3 linked regions of the Sus scrofa genome follow. The protein of the gene in region 2 purifies or fractionates together with the protein of the main gene of each other region. This does not show direct contact. Links are inferred from orthologs where the notes say so. Each region holds a gene or a part of one and is shown on either strand. Other genes may lie near its edges.

The links.
Region 1: the proteins of RBX1 (region 2) and FBXW7 purify together in Homo sapiens (affinity purification with western blotting; 8 studies listed by BioGRID and IntAct, with this or other methods). This does not show direct contact. The link is inferred for Sus scrofa from reciprocal best matches to the Homo sapiens genes RBX1 and FBXW7.
Region 3: the proteins of RBX1 (region 2) and ARIH1 purify together in Homo sapiens (affinity purification with mass spectrometry; 3 studies listed by BioGRID and IntAct, with this or other methods). This does not show direct contact. The link is inferred for Sus scrofa from reciprocal best matches to the Homo sapiens genes RBX1 and ARIH1.

Annotation. Positions count from the first base shown.
Region 1 is NC_010450.4:76,684,940-76,695,152, forward strand, and holds part of FBXW7 (F-box/WD repeat-containing protein 7), read left to right. Parts: intron 1-1,500; coding exon 1,501-1,624; intron 1,625-3,635; coding exon 3,636-3,772; intron 3,773-4,810; coding exon 4,811-4,924; intron 4,925-6,200; coding exon 6,201-6,382; intron 6,383-8,593; coding exon 8,594-8,819; intron 8,820-10,213. UniProt on the Homo sapiens protein: Substrate recognition component of a SCF (SKP1-CUL1-F-box protein) E3 ubiquitin-protein ligase complex which mediates the ubiquitination and subsequent proteasomal degradation of target proteins.
Region 2 is NC_010447.5:7,508,832-7,519,144, forward strand, and holds the start of RBX1 (E3 ubiquitin-protein ligase RBX1), read right to left. Parts: upstream 6,034-10,313; 5' UTR 5,459-6,033; coding exon 5,389-5,458; intron 4,948-5,388; coding exon 4,904-4,947; intron 4,477-4,903; coding exon 4,398-4,476; intron 1-4,397. UniProt on the Homo sapiens protein: E3 ubiquitin ligase component of multiple cullin-RING-based E3 ubiquitin-protein ligase (CRLs) complexes which mediate the ubiquitination and subsequent proteasomal degradation of target proteins, including proteins involved in cell cycle progression, signal transduction, transcription and transcription-coupled nucleotide excision repair.
Region 3 is NC_010449.5:60,817,261-60,827,531, forward strand, and holds the start of ARIH1 (E3 ubiquitin-protein ligase ARIH1), read right to left. Parts: upstream 6,530-10,271; coding exon 6,158-6,529; intron 1-6,157. Other genes in the region: uncharacterized protein LOC110261568, read left to right, coding at 6,528-7,328. UniProt on the Homo sapiens protein: E3 ubiquitin-protein ligase, which catalyzes ubiquitination of target proteins together with ubiquitin-conjugating enzyme E2 UBE2L3.

The sequences.
Region 1 (10,213 bases), on a different chromosome or scaffold from region 2:
TGTTCCCTTTTGTCATTTACAGTGTAAATGACAGGGTGTAAATGTTTGGAAGGTTCATCATTGTGATATAATAAGTACTTTGATATGATAAAGAACTGTTAATTATATATAACTATCCAAAGCAATCTGAAATCATGCTTTGGAATAGAATAGATAGAAATCTCATTTCTTTATTTTTTTCTTTATTACTCAATGAATTTATCACACCTGTAGTTGTACAGTGATCATCACAATCCAATTTCAGAGGATTTCCATCCCACATCCCAAGCACATCCCCCCACCCCCAAACTGTCTCCTTTGGAGACCATGAAGTTTTTTAATGTCTGTGAGTCAGCATCTGTTCTGCGAAGAAGTTCAGTCTGTCCTTTTTTCAGATTCCACATGTCAGTGATAGCATTTGATGTTGGCGTCTCATTGTATTGCTGACTTCACTTAGCATGATAATTTCTTGGTCCATCCATGTTGCTAAAAATGCTGGTATTTCGTTCCTTTTAATGGCTGAGTAATATTCCATTGTGTATATATGTACCACATCTTCTTGATCCACTCCTCTGTTGATGGACATTTAGGTTGTTTCCATGTCTTGGCTATTGCAAATAGTGCTGCAATGAACATCAGACTACATGTGTCTTTGTGAGTCATGGTTTTCTCTGGATAGATGCTCAGGAGTGGGATTGCTGGAAGAAATCTCATTTCTCAACTTAAATGAAATATTGTAGTGAGGACAGGAAAAGACAAATTTTAAACAACCAATGAAGTAAATAGTAATAAATTACTTATATATAAATAAATAGTAGAATTCTTGAGTTGAGGCTCACAGAGCAAAGGCAAGAGAAGAGGCAGAGAGGTTTAATAAGTATTCCTTGGAGTTCCCATCATGGCACAGTAGTTAACGAATCCGACTAGGAACCATGAGGTTGCGGGTTTGATCCCTGGCCTTGCTCAGTGGGTTAAGGATCTGGTGTTGCCGTGAGCTGTGGTGTAGGTTGCAGACGTGGCTCGAATCCCGAGTTGCTGTGGCTCTGGCATAGTCTGGGGTAGGCTGGCAGCTGTAACTCCAATTTGACCCCTAGCTTGGGAATCTCCATATGCCACAGGAACGGCCCAAGAAATGGCAAAAAGACCAAAAAAAAAAAAAAAAAGTATCCTTAAAGCGGTGAGGAGTTAGTGAAGTTTATAAAAACCAACACTTTGTTCTTAAATCTGGCATATATTAGAAGGTATTACTTTTTATAATTTTAGAAATTAGAATGTTGAGGTATATTACATTTATCTATAAGTACTTCATCCTTAGAGAATGACTAACTTATTTTTCATAATTAAAAAAAGATGCAAGTTTTGTTGGGGGATTTTTTTTGGCCATAGCCATGGCATGTGGAAGTTCTCAGGCCAGGGATCAAACCCAAGCCACAGCAGTGACAAGGCCGCTTCCCTTAACCCACTGAGCCACCAGGGAACTCCACAGAGATACAAGGTATGCAGCACTTTTTCTTTCCACAGCTGGCACTTTATGTGCTTTCATTCCTGGAACCCAAAGACCTGCTACAGGCTGCTCAGACGTGTCGCTACTGGAGGATTCTGGCTGAAGACAACCTTCTCTGGAGAGAAAAATGCAAAGAAGAGGGTAAGATTCAAAATCACATAGAGGAAATGTCTGTAGTTCAAAAAAGCAAGTGATTCTGAAAACAAACAAAAAAAATAAGTTTTATGTGCCCATAGACTAAAGTGGTAGGTAAGTTAAAAGAGAACTTTGGCAGCCTGTCAAAGAATCAAGATTGCGTCTTCATTTGTATTGACCTGCTTCTGTAACATCCACAGGTTATTCCACACATTCACATGAGCCAGATCTTGCTTCTAACCCCTTTGATGAGCACTGTAACTGTTAGTAAATATATCAGACCTGTTTCCCAGTCTCCAGTAGAACTAAACTATGAGAAAGTCAAGATGAGGATGACTTAAAGAGAATCCCAAAGTTAAATTAGCAATTATATACACAGATATCTGTATTCTATTCATGCCCTCCACAAGTACTTATTGAACCCCTCTTATATGCTATATATTCTTATATCCTGGGGATATAATGATAAACTCCCATTTTCTTCCCAGCATGGAGCTTGTGTTCAGAGCCTGGCGGGCGGGGGGGAATACTCTTTCTGGTTTTTGTTTTTGTTTTTTGTCTTTTTCTCTTTTTAGGGCCACACCCACAGCATATGGAGGTTCTCAGGCTAGGGGTCTAAAGTGAGCGGTAGCCGCTGGCCTATACCACAGCCACAGCCACTGCAACACCAGATCCAAGCCGTGTCTGCAACCTCATGGTTCCTAGTTGGATTTGTCTCCTCTGCACCACGACGGGAACTCCAAAATCCCCTTTCTTAGTAAAGGCATCGATATCATCCATATTAATTTAAGAAAGGTCTTTTTTTTTTTTTTTCCGGCAGGCATCTAGAAAAATATTTTTGAAAAAATTCTGGAAAAATATTATTTGTTTTTGGCAAGCCAAATTTTTAAGAAAGAACCATAGACCATAAGACAGAGAGGCTATGGGTTACCTTCTCCTTCACGGAGGTTGCAGTTGAGTGGCAAGCACCGGTGGTTAGTGAAGCCTAGAGGTGAGGATACTTGTTTTCTGATCCTGCCTCTGCCCTGTCTGTGGCTTCGACCAATCAGTGACATCTTCTCAAGTATATATAAAGTGGGATTAACCATCTCATAGAATCATTATTTTAATGACTCTTTAAAATGGTGATAATTTATACATAAAACAGGATGTATCTCTTGAACCATTTTTAAGTGTACCGTTCAATAGCATAAAGTACATTCCTCTTGTCGTGCTTCCATCACCACCATCCATCTCTAGAACTTTTCGTCTTACCCCGCTGAGATGCTGCCCATGTAACGGTGACTCCCTATCCCTCTCCATACCCCGCTCCAGCCAGCCCTGGCAACCACCGTTTTGTTTTCGGCCTGTGGATTTGACTCCTCTAGGTACCACATATTAGTGGAATCATGCAGTGTTCGTCTTTTTGTGACTGTCTTATGTCACTTAGCGTGATGTCTTCACGGTTCATCCAGATGTGTCGGAGTATCTGCCCTTTCTTTAAGGCTAAATAACATTCCATTGTATATATCAACCACATCTTTTTCTCCATTTATCCATCGACAGACACTTGTGTTTCTCCCACCTCTTGGCTGTTGTAAAGAATGCTGCCGTGAACATGGGTATACAAAAGCCTCTGCAGATCCCTGGTTTCAGTTCTTTTGGGTGTTTGTCCAAAAGTGGAATTGCTGGATCATATGGGGTGATTTTAGGCTTAATTTATTTTTGAAGAACCGCCATACTCTTTTCCATAGCAGCTGCATCATTTTATATTCCCACAAGCATTACACAAGGGTTCCAATTTCTGCACATCCTCCCCAACGTTTCATAGAATTATTTTGAGAGAGAAATGAAGCAGTCGGTATGAAGCATGCCATACGGAATGCAAACTTCATTGTTTTGTAATGCCAGCGTTAGAAATTAGACAGTGTTCTGCATTTCAGGGGTTTTGAGCATAGGGGAAAATGAGCTACATTATAAAATTGTAATTTGTATTTTTGGTGAAGGCAGTAATACACTGACAATTTTTAAATTTTAGGTATTGACGAACCACTGCATATCAAGAGAAGAAAAGTAATAAAACCAGGTTTCATACACAGTCCATGGAAAAGTGCCTACATCAGACAGCACAGAATTGATACTAACTGGAGGCGAGGAGAACTCAAATCTCCTAAGGTAACTGAACTCTCACACGATGTAACAGAAACCATTAATCAGTGTTAGTACTCAGTGTACTTACTCTTCCATTTCTTGGCAAGCAGTATAACGTGACAACTCATCTCCTGTGGAAAGAAAACAATATATTTTAAAATAACTGAAAATGTAACTGACAGTATTCCTCCTTGCTAATTTCTCTAGTCTGACAAATGATTATACTTGAATAAAAGATGAGTTAACTTGCGTGTTCTATTACGTGTAAACGAAAATTTCCAAATATCCTGTTGAATTTTGTTATATACATACTACCTAAGAATTTGCTCCCTCTCTGACCACATAATCCAGGCATGATTTTTTTTTGAGTAATACCCATGTTTGAGGAGGTGACTTTTGTGTGTTTTAATTTTATACATTTAAGCATAATTCTGATTTTCTGCCTTATACCATTTCAAGTATGTAAAGAATGGCAGGGGAGTTCTCTGGTGGTGCAGCAGGTTAAGGATCTGGTGTTGTCCCTGCTGTGGCTCGAGTGTCATCCCTGGGAACTTCTGCCTCGAGCATGACTGAAAGGGGGAAAAAAAATAGAATGGCAAAAATCCTTGAAACACTTAGCTCTATTTTTTCAATTGGAAAAAGGAAATTTGGGGAGACATTTCCTATTAGTATGTATATATATTTTTGGTTAAAGTTGAAAAAAGTTGATAATTACTATCTTTCTAGTTAGTAGGTACTTTGGTGTTTGACAAGTTACATTCTTTTGGTTTGAACAATAGGTGATTATAAAATACATTTGTGTTTGAACCACCTTTATGAGGTCTTGACTGAATGAAATTTTAGTAGTTGATGCCTCAAGTATAAATAATAGAATATGGAAACAGTAAAATGCTTAATACTTAATTCCTCTGCCAGGAAGGATGCTTTATATTTTTTTATAAATTTTAGTTTTAGAAAGACTACATATTACTGCTGCTATTGGTGGCCTCATTTTTCTTTTCACCAGTATTTTAAGAACTCTGATCGAGTAACGTGTTCCTGATAGGCGCATCTGTGTTGTAGGTGCTGAAAGGGCATGATGATCACGTGATCACATGCTTACAGTTTTGTGGGAACCGAATCGTTAGTGGCTCTGATGACAACACTTTAAAAGTCTGGTCGGCAGTCACAGGCAAAGTAAGTTGACTTCTTTCTACCCTTCGTAAAGTCACCATTTTGTGTACATCTTTGCAAGGATCAGCCACTGGAAGGAAGACAAGGATTCATTTCATTTTTGACTCTAGCTTATTTTGATAGGAGATATCAGAGCTTCTAATTTAGCTTTTTCCTTGGCATGAAAATGATGTTTCTCATGATAGGGATGTCATTAGTTTCTTCTTCATCTAAATAGTTTGTCTATCTTTGTGACTTAGCTATTTTAAGATTTTATAGATGTGCTTTTTTTTTTTTTTTTTTTTGGCTTAATGTTTCCTGCTTTTATTATCTCCTTCCTTTTTAATCTTTTTCAAAAATATGATTGAGGAATTTTTTTCTTGTAAACTGCTTTAATAGCCTACCTATAGTTTAAAAGTTAAATAAATCATGCTAATTTTGACTTACCTCAGATCCTATAACATAGAAGTTAAGCAGCCTAGTTAGTTAAATAGGAATTTGATGGGAAAAAAAAAGGCAGCCCAGGCAATCAGTTTCATTGCATACAATATTATACTCTAATGCCTCTCTACTGAATATTTATTTTTATCTGTCCAATGGAAAATATTTTCTTGAATTAAGTAATTGACTACCTAAAAAGTAATAGAAGAAAGAGTGTGTGGGAGGTGGAATCTGTCATTTCAGTGTTGCATAGCATGCTTATTTGGGGGCAAGAATCTTCTATTTAGAAGAATAGTTATTCCAAGTCAGATGTTAAAAACTTTTAAAACAGCTTCATATTTCCATAGTGTAATATTAGTTTTGGATTTATTTCAGGGTTTTAATGTCTGTCTTTACTTGTCTAGAAGTACCTTGCCTGGTTCCTAGCTACTGCCTTGGGGCAGATTCAGATGAAATGTGGTATGTAGCCACACCCAACACTGTTGGCGTTCTTTCATTGAATCCATTCCCATGGAAGAAACCAAGCTGCAATTTTAGTATTATTTTATCCAAGAGGCCAGGCTAGAGCTGTCATACTTTAGCAAGAAAGGTTTCCTTTCAACATACTTGATCCTCAGTTGTGTGTGTGTGTATGTATGTGTGTGTGTGTGTGCGTGTGTGTAATCTGCAATGCTGGTGAATAAACAAAGCAATAAATAGTGATGGGATCCTCTTATATTGATGTGAAACATTACTTTCTAATACGCCAAACATTCCAACTGAGTTAGTGACTTTACTCCAGATTTTAACGACCTGCTGAGATGTTATTTAAACTGGTTTTCTTTCTACCCAAAAGTAATCACCTTAAGTGTTTTTCCAGTGTCTGAGGACATTAGTGGGACACACAGGTGGAGTGTGGTCATCACAGATGAGAGACAATATCATCATTAGTGGATCGACAGACCGGACTCTCAAAGTGTGGAACGCGGAGACGGGAGAATGCATACACACCTTGTATGGACATACTTCCACTGTGCGTTGTATGCACCTCCATGAAAAGAGGTGAGGGAACACCCTGCCGGTTGGGAAGTTTTCCTCTGTTACTTGTGAACCTGGAGCCTTTTGTGTAGCGTTCCGTCGTATTACTGTGTCTAATAGACAGTGATAACGTGCTCTTAAATTAGATGTTAATTAGTCAACTTCAGATGTTCTCTGCCAGGAAAACCATGGTGTCTTGCCTTAAAATCGGGCAGTTGCTTTACGCTTCCTTCCTCATTTAACAGTGTTCTTGGCCTTCCCCTTGAACCTCTCTATTCTCTAATCTTGACTAATACCTTACTTAATTTTTCTAAATCTTGGATGATGCATCATCATAAAAAAAAAAAAAAAATTGGACGGAGCGTATATTTCTGGAAGTAGGACAAATTCAGTTATTCAGTCTTCAAGCCTCTGAGTCTTTACTTACCCACCTGCCCTGCCCCGACTCGGTCATAAACTGGGTCGTCTCAGGCAGAAACCGAGGCCTGTGGGATTAACTTATTCTCCTTACCTATCACCCAAACTATGGACATAGCGTTCAGACTCTTACACAGAACCTCCTCTAATTACCGTCGTATCACTGCTGACCGAATTAACAAAGAAACCCTCAATCCGGTTTCCAAAATAGTTTCAGCCGAACCAGACCGCTTGCCTTTTTCTTCTCAGCACCTTCGCTGTTGCTTTTATCTCCTCCTGCAAAGCTTCCCTGTGCAAGTCCCTTCTGTCTCCTGTTCGTATGCATGGTACTCCTGTTAAACAGATGTGATTTCTGTCCCATTTGTCGGAAGAGGTCTCTCTGAAGGGTCCTTAGAGTGAAGCCACTCCAGTCGTCACCGTTAATTCTGTCCGTAGCATCTTCCTTATTAAGAACCATTACATTAAGCAGATTTCACTCTAGATTTGTAATATGTGAAGAAAAGTACCTTTTCACATGTAATTTGAATCTGCTCTGAACAGTGCACGCTGCTGTTAAAACTGGGGGGATTGGTATCCAGAGACCTTGCATTTCAGTTGCCAGTAGTTTCTGACTTCAGTCTCTCAGTGCTTCCATTTTCTACTCTTCCAAACCTGGAAACTCTTTACCTATTTGGAATGATGTAAATTCGCCTGAGTTTTCAGCTTGCCTTTGTAATCCAAAGGTAACTGGAGTATTTCTATCAGTCTGGTTCTCAGAAGAGTATCAGTTTAATAATGTTGGGATGATTTTTAAGGGATTTCTGTTGCCTCTACCTACGTTTCTTCTGTAATCTGTATATCTTTTTTTTTTTTTACCATTTCTTGGGCCGCTCTCGTGGCATATGGAGGTTCCCAGGCTAGGGGTCTAATCGGAGCTATAGTCACTGGCCTACGTCAGAGCCACAGCAATGTGGGATCCGAGCCGCATCTGCAACCTACACCACAGCTCATGGCAACGCCGTCAACCCACTGAGCAAGGGCAGAGATTGAACCCGCAACCTCATGGTTCCTAGTCGGATTCGTTAACCACTGCACCACGACGGGAACTCCTGTAATCTGTATATCTTAATGCTTTCCCTGGCCTATTGACTAGTTTTAAATATAAGCATAAAAGCAGCCTTTGTTTGAGGATATGTTGAAGACTGGTTAATTTGACCAGAGTATGTGGTGTAAAGCACATATCTTTAGCTTTTTAAATGCCAAATTCCGATGTGTTTTGTTGAAATTTTTCCCTGATCGCAAAGGAAGTATGTGTTCATTATTAAAATTTGGGGACATGGCAGAAAGAATAAAGAAAATGTCAATTTTTCAGACAACTACCACCCATTAACATTTTACGCATGTTGCCCACCTCAGCATTTTATTTCTAACATCAAGATCTGCTTGTATGTATTCAGAACTGGCTGCTTCTGCTACTCCTGCTGCTGTTTATTTACTTTCTCTGACTTCTTTTTCCTCTTCTTCCTCTTTGTCTTTGCTAATTACAGTACAGTCATTTTCACACTGTTCCATGGGACCCTAAGCTGCTCCTGGAGCCCTCAAGCAGTGGGGGAACCCAACAGGCAGGAGTCTAGGCTTTCCAACTGCCTGTCCCCACCAGAGTCACTCAGCCTGTAGAGGTTTATATAGCAAGGTTGGTTTTATCTAGCGTGTGTTCCTTTTGAACGCAAGTGTTGCTGCTTAAAAAAGGAGAAAAGTTTTCATCCCCCCTGACTTCATATATCCGGTTTTCCCGTGTTATTAAAATGCTGCTGCCTTCTTTTCCGTTTCTCCCTGCAGAGTTGTTAGTGGTTCTCGCGATGCCACTCTTAGGGTTTGGGATATTGAGACAGGCCAGTGTTTACACGTTTTGATGGGTCACGTGGCAGCGGTCCGCTGTGTCCAGTACGACGGCAGGAGGGTTGTGAGCGGAGCGTATGACTTCATGGTGAAAGTGTGGGACCCCGAGACGGAGACCTGCCTGCACACGTTGCAGGGGCACACCAACAGGGTCTACTCGTTACAGGTAGGAGACCCACCTCCCGCTCCTGAGTGCCTAGTGATGCGGCGGCAGCTTGCCTCACCTTGATGGCCACTGCACGCTGCTGGTCCAGTACAGCCCAGAAAAAGCCCAGTTGAATTATTCTCTTTACCTTTACCTTAACATTGGCAGGAAAAAGCAGACATTTTGAGATGACTGAAATGATTTGTTTCCATTTTTCCATGATTCATTTCCTTCTAAAACACAAATATTTTGTCTTGGAACCTGAGCCTTTGGGGCCCTAAATTTTGCTGTATTAATTAATGGGTACATAGTCTCACAGGAGAATAACGTGGATTTTAATAAACTCCTTAGCAGAGGATTAATTTGGCCAAAAGCTGCCCTTTTTGCCTTGATAGCTGGAAGTTGATGGACCTTGTAATTGCCACTCCATTCAGGGCAGAAGCAGAGCTTTCTGCTCAGAGCTGTGCTACCATCACAGGGCCGCTGGTTTGTAGTCATGAGGAAGTAAATTTAATGAAACTGATTTTTGATTTTGTTTTCATTTGAACCTGATATCCCAGAATAGATTGCCATATTTTGCCATAAATAACTAGATGCATAGCAAGCTTAGCAAATGGGTCTTGTTTCAGGTCCTAAAAGACAAAACTTTCAGTTCAAAAATATAGCTGACCCTTGAACATCATGGGACTCAGGGGCGCCGACCTCACCCCCACCTACCCTCAACTGCAGTCGGATACCCTTACGCAACTTTACACCTGGCCCTCGGTATCTGCACGTCCGCATCCAAGAATCCAAGTAATCTCCAATTGTGTAGTCTTGTAGTAGGTGTTTAGTGAAAGAAATTTGAGTGTAAGCATGGACCTTTGCAGTTCAAACTCAACTTGTTCAAGCAAGGGTCAGCTGTGTTACCTATTCCTTACATGTAGTTTCTTTACCAGTTACTACCCATTAGTGATCAGCAAATTCATCTGTAGTCCCAAGGCTCACAGTTCTTTTCTTGGGGTATTTGTGTCTTAACTGTTGGATTACTATCTATGTCACGAAATATTGACATATAGTAAAGATATCTGTTAACTTAGAAAAGTTTATGAATTTGGAGGAGAGGGAATAGGCTGCAATTGTGTTTATGTTTTGTGATATGCTCAGACCCATAATGAATAAAATAATCTCATTTAAATAAACTATTAGATTGAGAAAAGAGGTAGCAACATTATTATAGATCTGGGAACGGGTAGGTATTTATCGACCTGGGGTATAGCTGGGAAGCTGGAGAAGAGGTACTATATATACTTTGGTTTTGTTATCAGAATGCCACTTCTAATTCTAAACATTATTATCTGGCGTTGGGTTCTTATAAATGGAATTTTTATTTGACATACAGCTTTTAATGGAACTTACTTTTAAATATCATGAAA
Region 2 (10,313 bases):
TGGGAACCTCCATATGCCGCAGGCGTGGCCCTAGAAATGACAAAAACAAAAACAAAAACAAAACCACCACCAGCACAGCAAATCTGTGAGGTCACTGGTTGAGAGACTTGGGGCCCCCATTTAGTGATGCTTACTGCCCCTGAGGCGACTCTGCCTGGTGAATGGAGCAAGTTTCTGCAAATGTATCCAAATATCAATTTCACAGAGGGGGAGAGAAGGGAATTTAAATGAAGTAAAAATCTGACTGAGATCAAGAAAGGCTGAGTAAAGCTCTACTGGGGATAAATACGCAAAGAACAAGAATTACTAATGTGTAATTTGCTTTCTCTGAAGGTGGTAACTAAATGGAGTCTCCCTTCTGAGGAATAAAAAGCTTCAGGAAAGACTATTTAATAGAAGCCAATTACTTCAAACTTCCATAGGTGGCAAATAGTGAAACTGTAAGAAAGTAATGCTGAGATGTTAATGGGTAATTGGTCTTCGGGGAAGAGATAGACCATAACAGTCTTTCCCCACCCTTCGAAAATACGAAAGGCAAAGGTTCTGAAATCACAGAACTTGCTTTTGCTCCCCAGGTTCACACTACAAAAAGAATAACTGGTTTTCCTTCTGATAAAAGTGCAGAATCTAGGCTCTCTGCAGTATATTCAAGAATGTACCAGGATTCCGAATGCATCATATTCAAAGAGATGGCAGAGGTTCCTGTTGTGGCGCAGAAACGAATCCGACTAGGAACCATAAGGTTCCGGGTTCAATCCCTGGTCTTGCTCAGTGGGTTAAGGATCTGGTGTTGCCGTGAGCTGTGGTGGAGGTCGAAGACGTGGCTGGATCCTGCATGGCTGTGGCTATGGCGTAGGCCAGCAGCTATAGCTCTGATTAGACCCCTATCCTGGGAACCTCCATATGCCGCAGGTGCAGCCCTAAAAAGCAAAAAATAAAAAAAATAAAAAAAAAAAGAAAGAAAGAAAAAAGAAAACACTGATGGATCTGTGGTTTTAGGAAAAGACTAACTTTTTTAGGGGCAAAGTCTGGGTCTAAGCACTTCTGGATGCCCCTTTCACCTGAGGAACAAGATTACCTGAGGCAGTGGAGGAAATTACACCCAAAAGACCATGTATTTCAGCAACTCGAAAACAGCCGAGAAACGGGGTGATGCACAGTAAGTACAAAGCGAGAGCAGGACATGCAGTATCAATCTGGATTCCAAAGAGGAAGTCTTCAGACCAAGAATGCTTTGTAGGTGAGTTCAACCAGAACAGAGCCAGAACCACTCTTAAGTATTTATGTAACTATTCATTTAATGGCAGACAAGAACTTACTAGAAAATGGTCATTGTTAAATCAAGATTCTTATTTTCATCTTTAACAAAAAGTCTTTTTACAAGAATCATAATTCATCTATTTTCTTTTTTTTTTTTTTTTTTGCCATTTCTTGGGCCGCTCCCGCGGCACATGGAGATTCCCAGGCTAGGGGTCTAATCGGAGCTGTAGCCATCGGCCTATGCCAGAGCCACAGCAACGCAGGATCTGAGCCACGTCTGCAACCTACACCACAGCTCACGGGAACGCCAGATCCTTAACCCACTGAGCAAGACCAGGGATCAAACCCACAACCTCATGGTTCCTAGTCGGATTCGTTAACCACTGAACCACGATGGGAACTCCCAATTCATCTATTTTTGAAAGGAAGACAAGCCCAGTAATGGCAACCAGATTCCTCTTTAGTGCGTATATGTTTCTTATGGGTAAAGCCCTGATTCAGTCCTTGCTTTATCCTAGAGCCCTGCAAAAGGCCCAGAATATAAATATCCATCAAATGAATAAAAGATATGACTTGAAAATACTTTCATAATTGTTACAGGAGTTCAATCTTCTACTTCTTCGCCTGACATTTAAAATATATAGCAAAAAGACAGAAAAAAAAATTAAAATATATAGTAAAGCAGGTGCCTAACTAAAAGCCCACATCAACCCCTCAATCATTCAACACTAAGACAGAATACCAATGGCCTTTGTCTGCTACCATCTTCCCAAGAAGTGCATTCTCTTGCATGCAGAAAGAAACACAGTGACTTAAATACAGATGTTAAAAAAAAGTCTGGATTATATAAAATTATTAACTAGTTACAAAAGAGAGCCCTGAGAAAGTAAAATTTTCTCTGGGTGAAACCCCTTGTGAAAAAGCACAGCAAAAAAAAAATTGGCAAGCATGTAATCAAAACCCCCACCCAAGCACATTTAAAACTGGGCGTGTGTTTTTCTGTGATAGGTGCCTTCTCTTTATACTAAACATCATGGTAGCTGCTGATCTGCTTGGACTGTCCTATGAAAAGGTAAACAGGGTCAAAACTCAGAGAAACCAAGGGCCACAAACTACCAACACAAAATGGCTGATTTGTGCTTTCCAAATTGCAATGGTCACAGACGAGTCCCCTATTTTGTTTTTATTATTAACTGAGCAAATATCGAGGGAGAACCTATTATGTACTGGACACTAGGCTAGATGCTGGAAACACAGGAGTAAATAACATGGACTTATAAATAACCAACCAAATCAAATAACTGCTATAAAGGACACTACAGGATGTCTTAGAAATATTTAACAGAACTGTCATAGCTTGTGTTTGTGTGTATGGACATAGGGTCACGGAAAACACCTTTGAGTGAGTTCAAGGTAGGATCCCAAGACCAATCATGGGTTAGTTTTACACTGCCTAATAAAGCAGACACTGGCCAAGTGTGGTTACTGAGCATGTGAAATGTGGCTAGTCTGAACTGAGATGTGCTGAAGAGTAAAATACACTGTGACGACCTAGTACCAAAAAAAAAAAAAAATTCACTTTAAAATACTGATTACAGAAAGTTCCTATATGTGGACCTATAATAAATAAATAAATAAAAAGAAAATACTGATTACAAAAAGGGGGAGGGGGAGTTTCCTTGTGGCCTAGCAGTTAGGGATATGGCATTGTCACTGATGTGGCCTGGGTTCAATCCCTGCCCTGGAAATTTCTGCATGACACATGGATAGCCCCCCCAATTAATTAATTCACTAATTAAATACGGATTACATTCTGAAATAAAAATATTTTGGAAATAATAGGATAAATACAATACAAATCACTTGTTCTTTTAACTTCATTAATGTGAGTACTGGAAAACTTTAAATTACATATGTGCTCATATTTATGGCTTACACTTAGACTGAATAGTGCTGGGTTTGAAAAAGATAAGGGGGAGAAGAGGCGGTGAATATTCCAGTAGGGGGAACAAGATATGTAAGAGCTCTATACAAGACCACGGATAGTTCCAGAATAGAAGGAAAGCCAGGGTACTACCAGAGTAAGGAGAGTGGCTCGAGATAAAGCTGAAGAGGCACGTATGTGGTTTTCAAAATAAGTTAAAATTTCAATTCTAGAACGTTGAAATTTCTTTGCCCTATTTCTTTCGTGTGTGTGTGTGTGTGTGTGTGTGTGTGTGTGTGTGTGTTTAGAGTCATACCTGTGGCATATGTAAGTTCCCAGGCTAGGGGTCGAACCAGAGCTGTAGCTGCCAGCGCACGCCATAGCCACAGCCACACCAGATCTGAGACACTTCTGTGACCTACACCACAGCTCACGGCAGTGCCAAATCTTTAACCCATTGATCAAGGGCAGAGATCAAACCCCCGTCCTCATGGATACTAGTCGGGTTTGTTGACCACTAAGCCACGACGGGAACTCTTCTTTGTCCTCTTTCTGATCTCAGTAACAAACCATTTTAGTAACTGAATAAAAAGTAACCTCAACTGCTCCTGGTGTGATCAATAATTCTTGCCCCTAGTACTACAGAAATACTAAGTCCATTAACAGCTATAATTAAACCTACTGTGTGCTGACCACTATGTGTAATGGACTATATGGAAATTTAAATGAAATTTTCTTAGAGCAATTAACTACCTATTTAGATGTTGGCAGTGATGTTAACTACATTTGGGGCTAACACTGAAAATGCATACTCCTTAGACCTCTTCATAAATCTTCCCCAGCAAACATTTGCTCTGCTAGGATATTTTAGCTCAAAGTTAATTTTCTTTCTTTCACTATTTTTGCCTTTAAGTCTGGGTGCAAGATGGGAAATGGAGAAGAAATAATCAACAGTACCTCTGTGCCCGCAATTCATTCTAAATGTGGCCTTATCTTTAGATTGAATAGCCTTATTCTGAGAGATGGATATGCCTTCAGGACACCCTAAAAAAATTACTTTATTTCAAACATACCAACACACCAAATGCAGAAGTCCCCAAGTGCTAAGAATATACTTTATCTTTCCTCGTGAAGAAGAAAATTGGTCACATCAGGATAGCTGCAATCTCTGTAACCTTCTCAAACTTCCTCCCATCCTCCTCCAATTACTTACAAAGATCCATAATGTGGTTCCTGCAGATGGCACAGTTATCAACCACAATATCCCAGGCCCAGAGGGCTACTGCATTCCACTGCAAAGAGAAAAAGGGGGAACAATGCATGCTACTCTTTTAACACAAGCGCACACGCGTGCACACACACACACATACACATACACACACACACTCCAGGATTTCATCCTGTAGTTATCACCTTTTTGGCCACAAAGACCACCAAACAAGAGTTTCTGGATGTTACATGACTCTTTTTTTTAAAATTATATCAGAGAGCATCAGTAGGCTACACGTATGCTTACCCATTCTCTAAACTGTCAACTATATAAACACAAATGAATATCATCTTTTATTTTTTCCTACAGTTTAATTTAGTCAGCCATATCAATATAAATAAATCAGGAATAATTTATAAGTGTCGGTTTTAGGTCTAATAATCACAAACTTGAATTACTGTGCAGGTTCTCCTGGCAGTTGCAAAAGAGCTCAATTTCTGCATAAATACCTGCTCTTCAAGGCAGCTTTTACGCAGGAATGGACAGGTGAAGGCTAGGAAGAGAATGAACTAAGATGTTGATTGGATCATAAAACGGGTAATCGTAGGATAAGCTGGATAACTACCCAGTGTGAGTCCATAGAACAAGGTCATCGCTTAAATCTTATAAGATTATTTCACAACAAACTCTAAAATTCACTGGAATTTCGTATAGTTCCTATCATCAAATAAGCTGATGTTCTCAACTTTTATATGCTCAGACTGTTATATTTAGCTAGGATAATTTCCTTAAGAGTTTATCTAAAAGTGGTATTTCAATAATTCAACCTCTGGCTTCTGCAATAAATATTCCCAAACTCCCTTTCACCCCCTAATTTGGTGACACGTCCCAAACCTTCATCTCCTTCAAACCTAATTTTCAATGTCTAGCAACTTCTTCAACACTTTTCACCGACAGCTTCAACTTGGAGGAAAGAAGAAAAAAAAAATCTTACTTCTATTCTTCAATATGGCTGCTGGCTGTAACTGAGCATGCAGTGCCCACAATGAAACGCCAAAACGCATTAGACGGGGGAATACCGTCAGGGTTTAGCTAGATGTTCCAGGGATAAAATCTTCCCTATTTGGAATCTTCATTTTGGACAGATTTGTTTTATCTAATGTGGGATGGGCACTTTTCTCCCAAACTGCTGGCAAATCACTGTAAGGCATTTCATGCAAAAAGACACGTTCCACATTTCTTCTTTCCCACTTTACCAGGTTGTTCGCAACTTGTATTCAACCCTCCCTACTTGAAACAATACTTGGGCTCCGTTTTCTTTTTAACAAATTCCACCATGCCTTTTTTTTTTTTTTTCGGATGGGGATTCTGGATATGACCGCAGGACTGGGGCGGCTGTGTAACAAATCAACAGACCTTTCAGAAGAGCCAAGAGTTACACTCGAGAAACTAACTCGGCAGGGGCGAGGGCCAGAGAGGGCTAATGGAGGCCTCGATTAGGCGAGGACCAGGTCGAGGTTCCTCAGAGGGACCCCAAGCTTTGGATAGGGGCGGGGCACGGAGATCACTAGCCCGGTCCTCAGAAGCCTCCAATGCGGTAGGACCTCAGGTTCCCGGCTTGGGCCGTACTGTCCCATCCTCCACCCACCGCAGCCCTCGACTCCCCCTTCCACCCGCCCCACCCTCGCCTTCCCCACCCCTCCACCACTCCAGTGACAGCTCAGGCGCTTGGCTCCTGCATCCAAGTCGCAACCCCGCGCATCTCAATAAGCACCTCCGTGATTGGCCCCTCAGCCTCCGAGCGAAACCAACACTGGCACTGACAGTGGGCCGCAGTCACGCCGATCAACCCTAAGACCCGCCTCCCGGCTTCCTTTGGTGGTACCCGGTCCCCGGAACGCCCTGAAATGAAGCCCTTTCCTCCGCGCCTTGGTCATCCTGGGCCTGCCAGCCAGATCCGCGCCTCTCTAGTTTCCCTGAGGAAGGCGCTGGCGAGACCCAACCTTTTTCACTTCAAAGCGCTTCTTGCCCGCGCCGCTGTTGGTGCCGCTCGGGGTATCCACATCCATCGCTGCCGCCATTTTGGAAACACACGATCTGTCGTCTCGTTACTGCGCCTGCGCGCCAGCGCACGTCTCACTCCCCCTCCCGTCCGGACACCTCCTCCCGCACCCCACCCCTCACTGGCGCGCGAGGGGCAAGTGGGGGCGGAGCGTGTGGCCACGCCTCTTAAAGGCGCTGGTGCTGGTTCCCCCCGCCCCCCACTCTACCCCGCGTCGGCTGGGAGGAGGCGGTTGCCGGAGCTGCTGGGGCGGGGCCGGGCGGGGCCGGGCCGACGCGAGAGAGCCGGGTGGAAATGTTCGAAAGGACTCGCTCTCATCGCCCTTCCTCGGGAAGCCCCCGGCCTCACTCCCTCCGCAGGGGCGGCGGCTGTTTCCTCCGCCTCGGCCGCGACCTGCAGCCCGCGCACAGCCTATCCTTCCCCGCCGCCGCGCAGCTCCAGTGCCCGCGGGTCCTCGTCGCGTTCTTCCGGGGAAAGGGCGAGGGTGGGCGTCCCGCCTCCTGCTGCGGAAACCCAAGACCTCACTCTTAGTGGTCTTTCTCAGATCCTGACCCACTTCTGAGCCCGGCCTGAGGTCCTAGCCTCCTTGGGCCATAGCACCTTTCCAGCCAAAGCACCTGTGCTTTCTATCACCTTCCCATTTGTAGACCACCTCTCCACTTTTTTTTCATCTCTAATCTTGCAGAGGTATGACTGCTAGATCACTCTTAAATCTTGTATTGGCTTATTTGAAATCTCGTATCTTCTCTTAAAAGAAAGCTGAAGAGTAATGGATGGTCTTGACTCCACTGTTAAACCAGAAGTAGGGTTTGTTTCCTTGTCTTAATTTTAAACAGGAAAACAAATCTGTGAAAACGCCGCAGCTTTAACCGGAGTAGAGAGAGAAGACTTGTGAGAGACCTTAAAGTTTTAGTAGGAACACTACCAAGTTTTTCTAAGACCAAGTTTTGTTAAATGAATGATTCCATATCAAGAGTTCTGTCATCTAATTTATTGTGTTCCCGCAGGAATACTAGAAACCCATAGTAAATTAAGGTATCGAGGGCATATTTATCCTTCATTCAACACTTTCACTGAATGTAACTATATATATAATATGTATTCATTAACTATGTATTATATATATATAAATATATATGAAATAGGACCTGGGGTCCTATGTATGTATATAGGTCTCATAATGTATATATACCCCAGGTACTATTATAGATGGGAGAGACTGATGAAGGAGTGAAACTTCTGGTAGGGAAGTAACACACAAGTCAACAAATAAATGCTTCAAAAAATCTCAGTAAAGGAATTCCCATTGTGGTTCAGTGGAAGCAAATCTGACCAGCATCCATTAGGACACAGGTTCAATCCCTGGCCTCGCTCAGTGGGTTAAGGATCCGGTGTTGCGGTGTTGCCATGAGCTGTGGTGTAGGTTGCAGACGCAGCTCAGATCCCGCGTTGCTGTGGCTGTGGTGTAGGCCGGTGGCTACAGCTCCGATTCGACCCCTAGCCTGGGCGCCTCCATATGCTTCGAGAGCGGCCCAAGAAATGGCAAACACACACACACACACACACACACACACACACACACACACACACACACACACACACAAAGAGTCCCAGAATGGAAGGACAAAGAGGGCCAGGCATGGGCCAGGCTGAAAAGGTAATTGGTAAAGTAAGTGCTGAAATACTTCTCAAATTTGGCAAGAAACATAAACCTATAGATTTAAGAAACTGAGTAAAAATTGATATGCCGAGACACATCACCATTAAACTTCTAAAAACTAAAGACAAAAAAAAACCTTGAAAGCAGCCAGAGAAAATAACACTACTGAGGAAAATTGATTTGAATGAGTGATTTCTCATCACAAATAATGGAGGCCCAGAAAGAAGTGGCAAAATATTTTTTCAGGATGGAAAAAACAAAATAAACTGTCAACCCAGCTCCTATACCCAATTAAAATATTCTTCAGGAGTTCCCGTTGTGGCTCAGCAGTAATGAACCTGACTAGTATCCATGAATCGCTGGCTTTACTCAGTGGGTTAAGTATCCCACGTTGCCATGAGCTGTGGTGTAGGCCAGTAGCTACAGCTCCAATTTGACCCTTAGCCTGGGAACTTCCATATGCTATGGATGAGGCCCTTTAAAGACAAATGCAATAAAATAAAATATTCTTCAGCAATGAAGGGACAATCAAAAAAGTTTCAAAGCAACTGAAATGGAACAAATAAAAATTGTTACCAAAAAAACCCCACAAGTTTCAGATGGGCGTTCCCTTGTGTTGCAGCAGGTTAAGGAACTGGCATTGCCACTGATGCAGCTTGGGTAACTGCTGTGGTGCAGGTTTGATCCTTGGCTTGGGAACTTCTGTTTGCCAAGGGCACAACCAAAAAGGAAAAAAAAAGTCTCAGGTGAAGGAAAATGAAGAGAGTCTTTGTTACTAGCAGAACCATACAAAATATGGCTAAAGGAAGTTCTCTAAAACAGGAAGGATGGAGTTCCCGTTATGGTGCAGCAGAAACAAATCTGACTAGTGTCCATGAGGATATAGTTTTGATCCCTGGCCTCGCTCAGTGGGTTGGGGATCCGGCATTGCCATGAGCTGTGGTGTAGGTCGCAGGATGCAGCTCGGATCCTGCTTTGCTGTGGCGGTAGCGTAGGCTGGCAACTGTAGCTCTGATTGGATCCCTAGCCTGGGACCTTCCATATGCCGAGGGTGCAGCCCTAAAATAAATAAATAAATTAATTAAATTAAATAAAACAGGAAGGAAACAATAAAACAAGGAAGCTTGGAACAACAGGAAGAAGAAAGAAAACAGTAAAAAAAAAAAAACAACAGGTAAATTTGACAGGCTTCCCTTCTCCACTTGAGTTTTCAAAATCATGTTTAACAGTTGAAGTAAATCTTATAGCACTGTCTTATGTGGTTTTAAATATATATGGAGGAAATATTTAAGAAAATTATAAACTGTGGAGGGTAAAGGAACATAGAGGAAAGTAAGTTATCTATTCTTCCCTGGTAAAATTATGACACCAGAGTTCCAGTTTTTGCTCAGCAGTAATGACCTGACTAGTATCCATGAGGAAATCTGTTAAATCCCTGGCTTCACTCAGTGGGTTAAGGATCCAGTGTTGCTGTGGCTGTGGCATAGGCCAGCAGCTGCAACTCCGATTGACCCCTAGTTTGGGAACTTCCATATGCTGTGGGTTTGGGCCTTACAAAAAAAAAAAAAAGACACTAGTATACTGTCATGAGTTATTATGTATATATAATGTAATAACTAGAACAACCATTTTAAAAATATAAAAGAGATACACTCAAAAATATAGACCAATCAAGATGGAATTCTAAAACAGGTTTATGTAACTCACAGGAAAGCAAGAAAACAAAAAGCAAGATGTGAAAAACAAAGAGAACAAAACAAAAAATGAAGCAATAGACTTAATTCTTATATCAATAATTACATTAAATGTAAATGGTCTAAATATACCAATTAAGAGACAGAGATTGGCAGAGGAGATTAAAAAAGCCTGACCCAATATATGCTGTCTCACTTCAAAAATTATGATATAGGGGAGTTCCTGTCATGGTGCAGTGGTTAACGAATCCGACTAGGAACCATGAGGTTGCGGGTTCGGTCCCTGCCCTTGCTCAGTGGGTTAACGATCTGGTGTTGCTGTGAGCTGTGGTGTAGGCCGGCGGCTACAGCTCTGATTAGACCCCTAGCCTGGGAATCTCCATATGCCGCAGGAGCAGCCCAAGAAATAGCAAAAAGACAAAAAAAAAAAAAAAAAAAAAAAAAAAAAAAGATATAGGAAAGGTGCAAGTTAAAAGACGGAAAAAGATATATCTTGCAAACAT
Region 3 (10,271 bases), on a different chromosome or scaffold from region 2:
CACTTCTAAGATCAAGTTATAGAAGACTGTATTTTAATCTTGGGGACTCTCTATCAGACTCCTCACCCTGAAGAAAAGAAACTACTGTGTTGTAAGCCACTTTCTGGAGAAACCCACGTGGCATGAATTGGCCAAAAACCAGCCAGTGAAAAATCTGAGGCCTCCCAACAACCACACAAGTGAGTCTGGAAGGGGATCTTCCCATGAGTCCAACCTTGATAAATGCAATCTAGCTGATACAGAGACCCTGAGACAGAGGAACCCAACTAAGCTGAAGCCATATCATGGCCCATATAAAATGTGAGGTGTTTTGTGTTTTTAAGCCACTAATTTTTAGGGAAAATATAGAGCTAAAGATAACTAATACATATAGCTGCCACAGGTCAAGCCCAGAAGAAAGTGATCTAGTCTGATGATTTCTGCCTTTGTCCGAGCTTCTACAATCTTATCACCCATAATTAATTGTTTTACCTTAGCCGACCTCACCATTACTGGAACACACCTTCCTCATTTTTATTTCAATTTCTTCGAATGGCTTCCTATCTGTCCTTTCTATCCACCTAAATCCTAGACATCTTCCAGATAACATCCACAGACCTCTATTATTATCCATTTAGCACTGACCTAATAGCTTTGAGGGTCTAAATTCAGAGAGACCGTGAACTCCTAGAGAATAAGTTTCATATTTTTTTCAATATTTAATGCAGTACCAAGCAGGTACACTGACAGTATCCAAAGACTTCATATCTCTTCCAGTGTATCAAATAAAGAAACACAACTATTTTTGTTTAAAAAACACCACCACCACCACCAGTGTGTGGGGAAGGGTGGAAGAAAAACCAAGTCCTCCAACCTCAAAAGAAAGATGTCAACAGTCTGGCTTGCAAGTTTGAAATGACTGAATAAAGATCACCTTATCTGAAAAATAACAGTAACGATAATAAATCCGCTTCATGATTAGCCTAGTAAGTATTGACCAAACTCTTAAAATTTCTTGAACAAATTGCCTTCCATCAATATCGCACCTCTACAGTAATTTATCACTAGTAATTATAATGGAGAGCACTGCTGTTAAATTTCAACTAGACCAGTGGTTCTCAAACTTCAGCTTACATCAGTATCACCTGGAATGGCTGTTAAAACAGACTGATAAACCACAGTTTCTGATTCAGAGGATTAAAACCATAAGCGATTCAACAAGAATTAGTTTTATTTAGAACTTAGAGCTCAAAGAAATCAGCTGGGAAAAGATAAAAATTCGAGAGGAATAAACCATACTGACACCTTAATAGCTACAACACACACACATCGCATCTCCCTCAAACAAGTGAACCAATTTATTATTATCATTATTATTATTTTTTAGGGCCACACCTGCGGCATGTGGAAGTTCCCAGGCTAGGAGTCAAATTGGAGCTGCAGCTGCTGGCCTACTCCACAGAAACACAGAATCAGGATCAAAGCCACATCGGCAGCCTACACCACAGCTCAGGGCAATGCCAGATCCTTAACCCACTGAGTAAGGCCAGAGATCAAACCCGGATCATCATGGATACTAGTGGGGTTCGCTACCACTGAGACACAACAGGAACTCCAAGTTGATCAACTTAAATTCATCTTGATATGCACACTTCAATTTCTTGGAAAAAGTGAGAATCTCCAATTTACTGAGCCTTTAAAAGGACTTTAGGAAAACAAACAAAGCATTAACATAAAAAAGGCCAGTCTAGTAGTTAACTTCCCAGATTTAAATTAAAAAAAAAAAAAAAAAAAAAGCAAAGCCAAACAAAAACTCAAGGTTCTGAGATGTAAATTAACCTGTCAGTTTAGAAGAAAGTAATGGTTAAAACTGACTTCCAAACCAATACACAATACACTGGACTATACTGCCTCTAATTTATGCATGAAACTTTACCTTAGAAGTTCTTTAATATTTCAAATAAATAAATGGGTGAAATAATAATTAAGATTTCAAATCCCATCGTGGTACAGTGGAAAGAATCCAACTAAGAACCATGAGGTTGCAGGTTGGATATCTGGCCTCGATCAGTGGTTTAAGGATCCTGCGTTGCCGTGAGCTGTAGTGTAGGTCGTGTAGGTTGCAAAGGCATCTCTGATCTGGCGTTGCTGTGGCTGTGGCGTGGCTGGCAGCTACAGCTCCAATAAGACCCCTGGCCTGGGACCCTCCATATGCCACAGGTGCGGCCCTATAAAAAGACAAAAAATGAACCAAAGATTTCAAATCAACAAACAACAGAAAGTTTCCCTCATGAAGGTTACATATTTCAGGTGTCTTTAATACAGGTTATTTAGAATAATAAATCTTATAATAAAGCAAGACGCCATCCACTTCTCTTTATGCCTCCTCTCTGTTCACATCCAATAGTCCGATGTGCCTCTTCTTCAGCACATCCTTTTTAAATGTGGTATTAAGGGTACTGTCATACTCTACTACATTCTTCCTAAGTGAGTCAAAATCATGACACTGGATGAACTATGACTATTCCAGAGGTTTGGAATTATCACCAGAGTGACTAAAAATATAGAGATGCTTAGGCTCCAATTCAGACTTGACTAATGAATAACAATCTCTGGGAATGGAGCCCAAGGACCTCTGTGTTCCCCATCTCTATGCTTCTTAGTTAAGAACCATGTCCTCTACAGTGACAAGCACACACCCAAGGCACAACCGACATTTGCTGAATATTGCTATGGAAATACAAAATGGCAAAGTTAAACATCCTTCAAATACAGAGCTATATAATGTTAGTTCAATAAATTACTTAGCTATTTAGGCAATTACATTAAATAATCACAGTAATTTTAATAAGTTAACTATTGTAACAGTAACAATAGTAGTTAAGTAAAGTTGGGCAAACCAAAGGCTATAAGCACCTACCATTGATATAAAGTTAAAGAAAATCCTTGATCTTTTCTTAAAAGTTCAAAAGGTAAGCTAAGTAGCCACAAAGGGTTTAAAAAAAACAAGGCCAAATTAAACAAACTATAACAAGAGTTAGAGAAAGCCAGAAAACCAAGAATTTCCTAAAAGAAAACGTGTTAACTTATTTGAAGACTAGAACTAATTAGCAGATATCTACAAATAACAGTATTAATCTGTTGCCCAGAACTACTCTCAGAAAAAGTAACCAAATTCCCCCAGGAAAGATTAACTTGGTGACCTTATTACATTTCAGTCTTTCTCTCTCAAATTCACTAGTATACCTGATTTCATATTGAAAAGTAGCACCAGGGAGAAGGGGATTTAAATTTTTTAGAATTAACAGTAAGCTCCCTAAGGTGAACTAAATAAAACAATGGTTCTAAAATTACTTAAAATATACATTAGACCAACATTAGTTTTAACTAAAAAACCTACATGTGTGATATGTAAAGCCACTATTAATATAAACAGGTCTTATAAATCAATAAAAGACAAACATCCCCAAAAGGGGTAAAACAGCAAAAGCAAAGGGCAATTTACGAAAGAATAAACATGTTAGAAGTTCAACCTCTAACGTGTTAGAAGTTCAAAAAAAAAAGGAAATTTAAAAAATGATGACCATTTTATTTCAATCAAACATCAGAGGGGGGAAAAACTAGTATAAGTATTTCTGAAAGCAGTGTGGTAATACGTATCACATGCTTTGAAAATAACCAAGCTCTTTGACTCAGCAATTCAATTTATTCTGAAAAATAGACATTCAAAGATTTACCTATAAGGATATTTCCAAAGAGGCTTATAAGACAGAAACTAGACATTAAAAAGAGCAAAATAATAAAAGACTGATTAAATAGTTTAGATCTATAAAAATGTAAGCACTTGAAAAATCGCTACTTTTTGACAAGACAAAGTTGCTGACATTCCTTCTTTAAAATCATTCTTTTTTCTAATCTGCTTTTTTCTACTAAAAACATAAAGAGAATACAGGGTTTGATTCTGTTATTATTTAAAAAACATCTATAGCTTAGTCACAGGTCTGGAATAATGACCACAGTTCAAATTCTGGTATATATCTCAAAGTGGCAGGTAAAATAATTATTTTTTTCTCCTTACCCAATACCTGTTTTCTAACAGTATGTTACCTATGTAACTTTTTAAGTTTAAATTTAACAAACATAACCTATAACATAACCAAAGCCTAGTTTAGATCTAATGTGTACTATTTGGAGAGGAAATGGTCTGGGCTAACTCCTATCCTTTGATTTACTGATATTCCTAAATATGAACTTTTAACAAGGGAAAGATACTAAGATATTGTGCAATTCTATTTAAGAGCATCCTTAACATGGAGTAGAATAGCAGTTTTCTTCAAAAATCTGTTATGGAAACATGGTTAAAGCAGGACACCTAAAAAAAAAAAAAAAAAATCCCTAGTATTTTGTAGGTCTGAGTTCAGTTCATCAGCACTTACTCCTTTCCCCCTAAACTAACAAAAAAAAGATATCATATGCATTAGCTACATCTTTGTTCCAGAAATGACATAAAGAATTTGTAAGGTTTGACCTCAGTGATTAAGGGCACACTTAAGAGTTGAAAAAGTTGGATGAGATTTAACTACATGAAAACACACCTAAGTTAAAAAATAAATAGCCATGAATTTTTAAAGCTAACTAAAATGCCAAAAAACCTAGGTAATAAGTTTGAAAACCACTTTATAGATTTGCTATATACTTTATACAGTAAATAAACAAAAAAAAAGAATTCAAAGTTTCACTGTAAATTCAAGTTTCCTCAAAGAAAGAAAAATTTTCAATTTAGTGACCTAAGACCTCAACTGTCATATTTTAAGAATTAGAAAAAAAAGTAAAACTTATCTTTCTTCTACAACCCTTCAATTCTCTCCTCAAACTACATTATCTATAGGAAAGTTTGAGATTTCCACTGTTTAGTAATAGCACTAGATATCACAGATTTTTTTAAACTATTATTCAAAGCAGTCTTCCAATAGGCCTACATAGATAGTTCCATTTTCAAAAGAAAGTGTCGCCTACTAAACAATACTGTAAAAAATCATGCAAACTTCACAAGTAGGCACTGACATACTACTAATTTACCAGTGAATATTAGCCAAGCAATTTTAAGGGGGTGGGGGATTGGTTATGACTGACATACAACAAGACAATAGTAATCTTCTGTTTATGTATATATAGTTTCTTTCCATGTAACCAGTGTTTTCTAAAAGTTGCAGTGAATCAAGGCTTCATTTTTATTCTTCAATCACATCCCTGACCCCCATGACTGTTTTTCCCAAAGAGAAACTTTTGACGTCCTAAGCTCAAAAACAAAGTCCGACCCACAAGAAGGTTAAATGAGATGTGGTTATCAATTTAAACCAAGACCAACTTAATGACCACGAAATACAAATTATTAGAGAAAGGGGGTGAGTCCAGAAGCAGAAAGCCTCTACTTACTAACTCACAATAGAGGCTTGTCCAATATTAAACAATAACACTACGCTTTGCTGTTGTTTTAGCTGCAAGGCTGGGTATGCAATTCGCTGCAACTGTTCCAACAGCTTAAGTACGCTACAACTGAAAAAAGTAGTAGTTGGGTCCCAAACAAATAGCAAAGATTTAAAAAGATGCAAGCAGAAGCCTCACCATCAGAAAAGAAGACCCACGAACACCTCTTCCAAGAAACACTTCCCTTCCCCCACCTTTAAGTAGGCACTTAAGACTGCCAAGCAGATCCATTCCTTTATTAACTGGTGTCCACTTGGGGCAACCGTACAACAAGCAGCTCTTAGGCCTACTCTAACCCCTTCCAAAAGTGCTCAAGTGAGGCTGAAGGCCGGAGAAACAGTCTTAGGGGCCCAGTTCTTCCAGCTCTTCTCCACTCTGCCCTGGTAGGTGCTCCATGGGCCAGAGGAGTAACACCGGGGCCAGGACCGGCAGGAACTGCGTCCAAGAGAGAAGTCTTAGGCGGCCGGAGGCCTCCGCCATAGCAGGACCTGGAAAGCACCGCCTCCAGCGCACCTCCCCACACCCGGCAAATGTCTGCTCTACCCCCAGCAGGGGCAGCGGAGGAGACAGGGCTGGGAGGTACCGGGCTGAGCTGAGCACCAGGCCCAGGCCTGCCCCTCGGGACCGCGCGAGCAGCACGAATCCGCTCCTGGGTCCAGACCGATCAAGCAGGCGTGGGGGCCACTCTCACCTGGATGACCTCGTTGACCTCCCGGATACATTCCACCATGTGTTGCAGAATCTGCTCGGCTGTGAGCACCTCGTAGCGGTAATCCTCCTCCTGCTCGTGCCCCGACCCGCCGCCGCCGCCGCCACTGCCGCCGCCGCCGCCGCCGGGCCCCAGAGCACTGCCGCCGCCACCGCCCGTCTCCCCGCCCAGCAGTCCGTCCCGCTCCCCGCCGACGCCCAGCTCAGGCTCCACCAGCTCCACCTCGCCCAGATCCAGGTTATCATCGTCCGGCTCGTCGTCGTCGTCGTCCTCCTCCTCCTCGGCGCCGCTGTCCTCCTCGCTGCACTCTTCGTCCTCGTCGAACTCGTAGTTGTACCCCTCGTCCGAGTCCATGGCGCGACGCGCGGGGGCCCGGCAGACGCTGGCCCTAAGGCGGGGAGAGGGCGGGGACGCCGAGGCCCCGGCTCTCGCTCCGGCTCCGGCTGATGTCCGGACGCAGGCCTGGCTCCGGCCCCGCGGGCCGCAGCTCCTCCCCGGGCGCGGCGGTTGGCGGTTGGCGGCTGGCGGCGGCGGGGAGGGCGCGGAGGAGGGAGGGAGGGAGCGAGGGGGCCGCTCGTCGCCCGCCTCAATCAGACGCGGCTCCGCACCGGCCTCGGAGAGAAAACAGTCCCCAGCGCCACCTCCACGGCCGCTGCTACCGCTACTGAGCCAACAAAGGGGCGTGCGTCACCGCGTCGCGCTGCGTCGTGGCGTCACTGTTCTTGGCGTCACCGCGCCCCGCCCCTCGGCCCCTGTGTGGAGTGCGGGGAGACCCCACGGCCGGGGCTGGCCCTGGGAGCCAGGCGCCGCGGGAATCGCCGCCTGGGTTCCCGCTGCGTTCGCTGTTCGGACGGACGCTGGCCGACACCAGCTGACAGTGTACTTGAGGAGGCTGTGGCCTCCTGGTCACCGAGAGGGGGCCCTTAGGCCGCCCCGGGAGTGGTTTTGCCACTGGCTATGGGGATCCAGCCATTCGCGCAAACCAATGGGGAAGGCGGCCTTCCCACCGGGCAGTAAAGACCCTTCCCGCCCAACCTGGAGTAATTCCAGGAAGACCTTGGATGTTGAGCTAATATTCCTGTTGCCTGGGCTACTCAGAGGATTCTGTTTTATGCAGAACCTCTCAGCCACGCAGCAGGTGTTCTCGTTTTAAGTAATTCACTTGACTCTGTGCCCTGGTACAGACGTGCTGTGATTTAAGTCGCCTGTAGTGACGTCATTTAAAAGAAGCGGTCTCTAAACTCCGCTCATTAAGCGCCTATTCAAGGCCAGAACATTGGCAAAGTCGTGGCTTGCCTTAGTTGAGCACTGTGTAAGATCTATAATCTATAATCTATACGTATGAATTATAATATTAATATATAATACAACATATTAAATATGTAATGTTTTTTCTCATCGTCACAGAGCCACAGTACCTGTGTTATGCCTGAGACTCAAAGAGGAAGAGACTTGACCAAGGCCACAGAACACTTGCCCTATTTTAGACCCTGGGTGACCTTAAATATCGATCATAAAAACACTTTATAACGTATAGTATGTATTATATACTGCATTGTATATAAAATGCATTGTAAGACAACATAAGACCGGTAAAAGAAATATCTGCAGGGACCAAATAAAGCAGAGAGATAGTGCTTGTCTTTTATCTGGAAATGTGCTGTTTGAGCTTAGTGTTGATAGATGGCTAGGAGTTTAATGGAAGGTAGGGAAGATGGTCGAGCCTGAGAAAATAACCGAATTTTGAGTTCCCTGGCGGTGCAGCAGGTTAAAAGTCCAGCATTATCACTGCAGTGGCTTGGGTCGCTGATGTGGCACGGGTTCAATCCCTGGCCTGGGTACTTGCACATGTGGAGGGCACATGGCAAAGAGAAGAAAAAGGAGAAGGAGAAAACAGCAAAAACAATAGCGCAGTAGGTGTAAAGTAGTTTAGTTTGAGGAAGGGCAAACGGCAAGTTAGTGGCCAGGACAGTAAGAGTAATTTATGCCATTCTAACATTAGACTTAATTCTTTGTTGGCAGAACAGGAGAACCAGAGAAATGTTCTGAAGGGAGAAGCATAAGAAAACTCCCTCTTGGGATAACTTGAATAATTGGCCAGATTGGAAATCTTTTAAAGCCCGAATCCCTAACTTACTGATAAATCTTAATGTTGAACCTACAAATTCCCTTTGGAAATTTATTTTGAAAAGTGAAAAATTCCTTTACAATGTATGTTAGCCTCTACTAATTTGTCCATTTTGTAATTTCTTTTTTAGCCACACCTGCAGCATATGGAATTTCCCAGCTGCAACTTCAACCTATGCCACAGCTGTGGTAACAGTGGATCCTTAAGCCACTCTGCTGGGCCAGGGATGGATCCCCAGCCCTAGCAGCGACCCGAACCACTGCAAAGACAATGCCAGATCCTTAACCTGCTGTGCCACAGAGGGAACTTCCATTTTGTAATTTATTTTTTAGAATCAAATTTCCTAAAGTAATCTTAGGATTTGCAAATTAAAACTTTGAAACATCAATGCTGGTAGGTCTTGGTCCTTTGGTCCTGTTTTTATTTAGCAATTATAGGTTGTTGCCACAACTGGGGCAAACTAAGGATACTAGCAACCCTTCTCTCAACCCCATCTCCATTGTTATATACCTATGGGAAAAAATCAGCCACACTTATCAGTACCCTAAACTCCTTTGCCCCATCTTTCCTTTCATCTGCTTCTACCTTGAGTGAACCCTACCATCCATATCCTCCCCTTTGGTACTGGAGCAGCTGACCACTACTGGAGAAATTTGCGTAATCACATGCATTCTGTTATTAAATTTCAATCGCCTACCACAACTGAGCTCTCAATACCACAGAGCAGTCCTGTTAAATTTTTCTAAATTATTCTCCTACTCTAGGCAACCTTTTCAAACCTTCACCAGTTTTTCAGATCCCCAACCCTGCCCTTCCAAATCCTCTTAAAGTACATGACTTTACATAACAGAGAATTCTGAAATCATAAAGACCAATGTGACTGAAGCATACTGGGCAAAAAAGAGTGTTACTGGATAAAGTTAGAGAGGGCAGATCAGGGCAGGAGGTCAGTAGGACCTTGTAGGCTGCCTTAAGTTTACATTATTACAATGGGAAGCATTAACGTAGTTTAAGCAGAAGAGTGAAGAGTGAAACCATATGTGTGTTTTAACAACTATGGGTGCTTTGTGGGAAATGGACTATGAAAGCAGAGACCAATTGTGAGGCTCAGTAGTCAGGTGAATAATGATAATGGTTCAAGTTAGAGTTGTGACAGTGGAGATGTCCTTGCAAATAGCTAGAGTGTGAAGTTGATAGAGGAATTGAGGATGCCTACTAAATTTGCGGCTTGAGCAACTGGGTTAATGGTGGTTCCATTTACTGAAACATATTAAATTTGAAATGCTACTAGACATTGAGGTAGAGATGTTGAATAGGCAGTTCTATATTCTAATGTACAAGACTGAATCAGGTCAGAAGTTAGGGCTAGAGATAGAGTTTCACCAAAGTTTATTTCAACAATGTTGAGAAGCAGCATAGGCTAAAGTTTAAGAGGTTAGACTCTGAAGGAGACAGAGCAGAATTTACCTCTGCCCTGCTAGTTGATGTCTGTAACTTTGAACAAATTACAAAGCTTCACTTTGAAGGATTATAATTCCAGTTTTCATAGGACTATTTATGAGTATCAAATGCCTGGCACATAGTTACGTGTTCACAAAATTAGAATTTTTAAAAAGTGTGTATAAGTCACCTTGTATCTTTTGGGGAAAAAAACCATAGCTAATTGGATTTATAACCTTTTAATTGATTTTTTTGATTACACAGGTATGTATATGGCCTAAGTCATCCCTGTTTTCCAGGAAAGAAAACTGGTCAGCTTGTTTCTCAAAAATCTTTTCCATAGTCTGATGACTTCTTTTTTAGTCAGTATCATGGGCAATGTCATAGTGATTCTGAATTTTGGGGTCTTGATTCATGGATTAAACCATCATAACCAGATTCTCAGCAACAATCATTCCATTGGTATTTTTAAAAATACCTTAGAATCAGATTAGTTTATAGTGCTATTAAAGGAAACCAGTATAACAA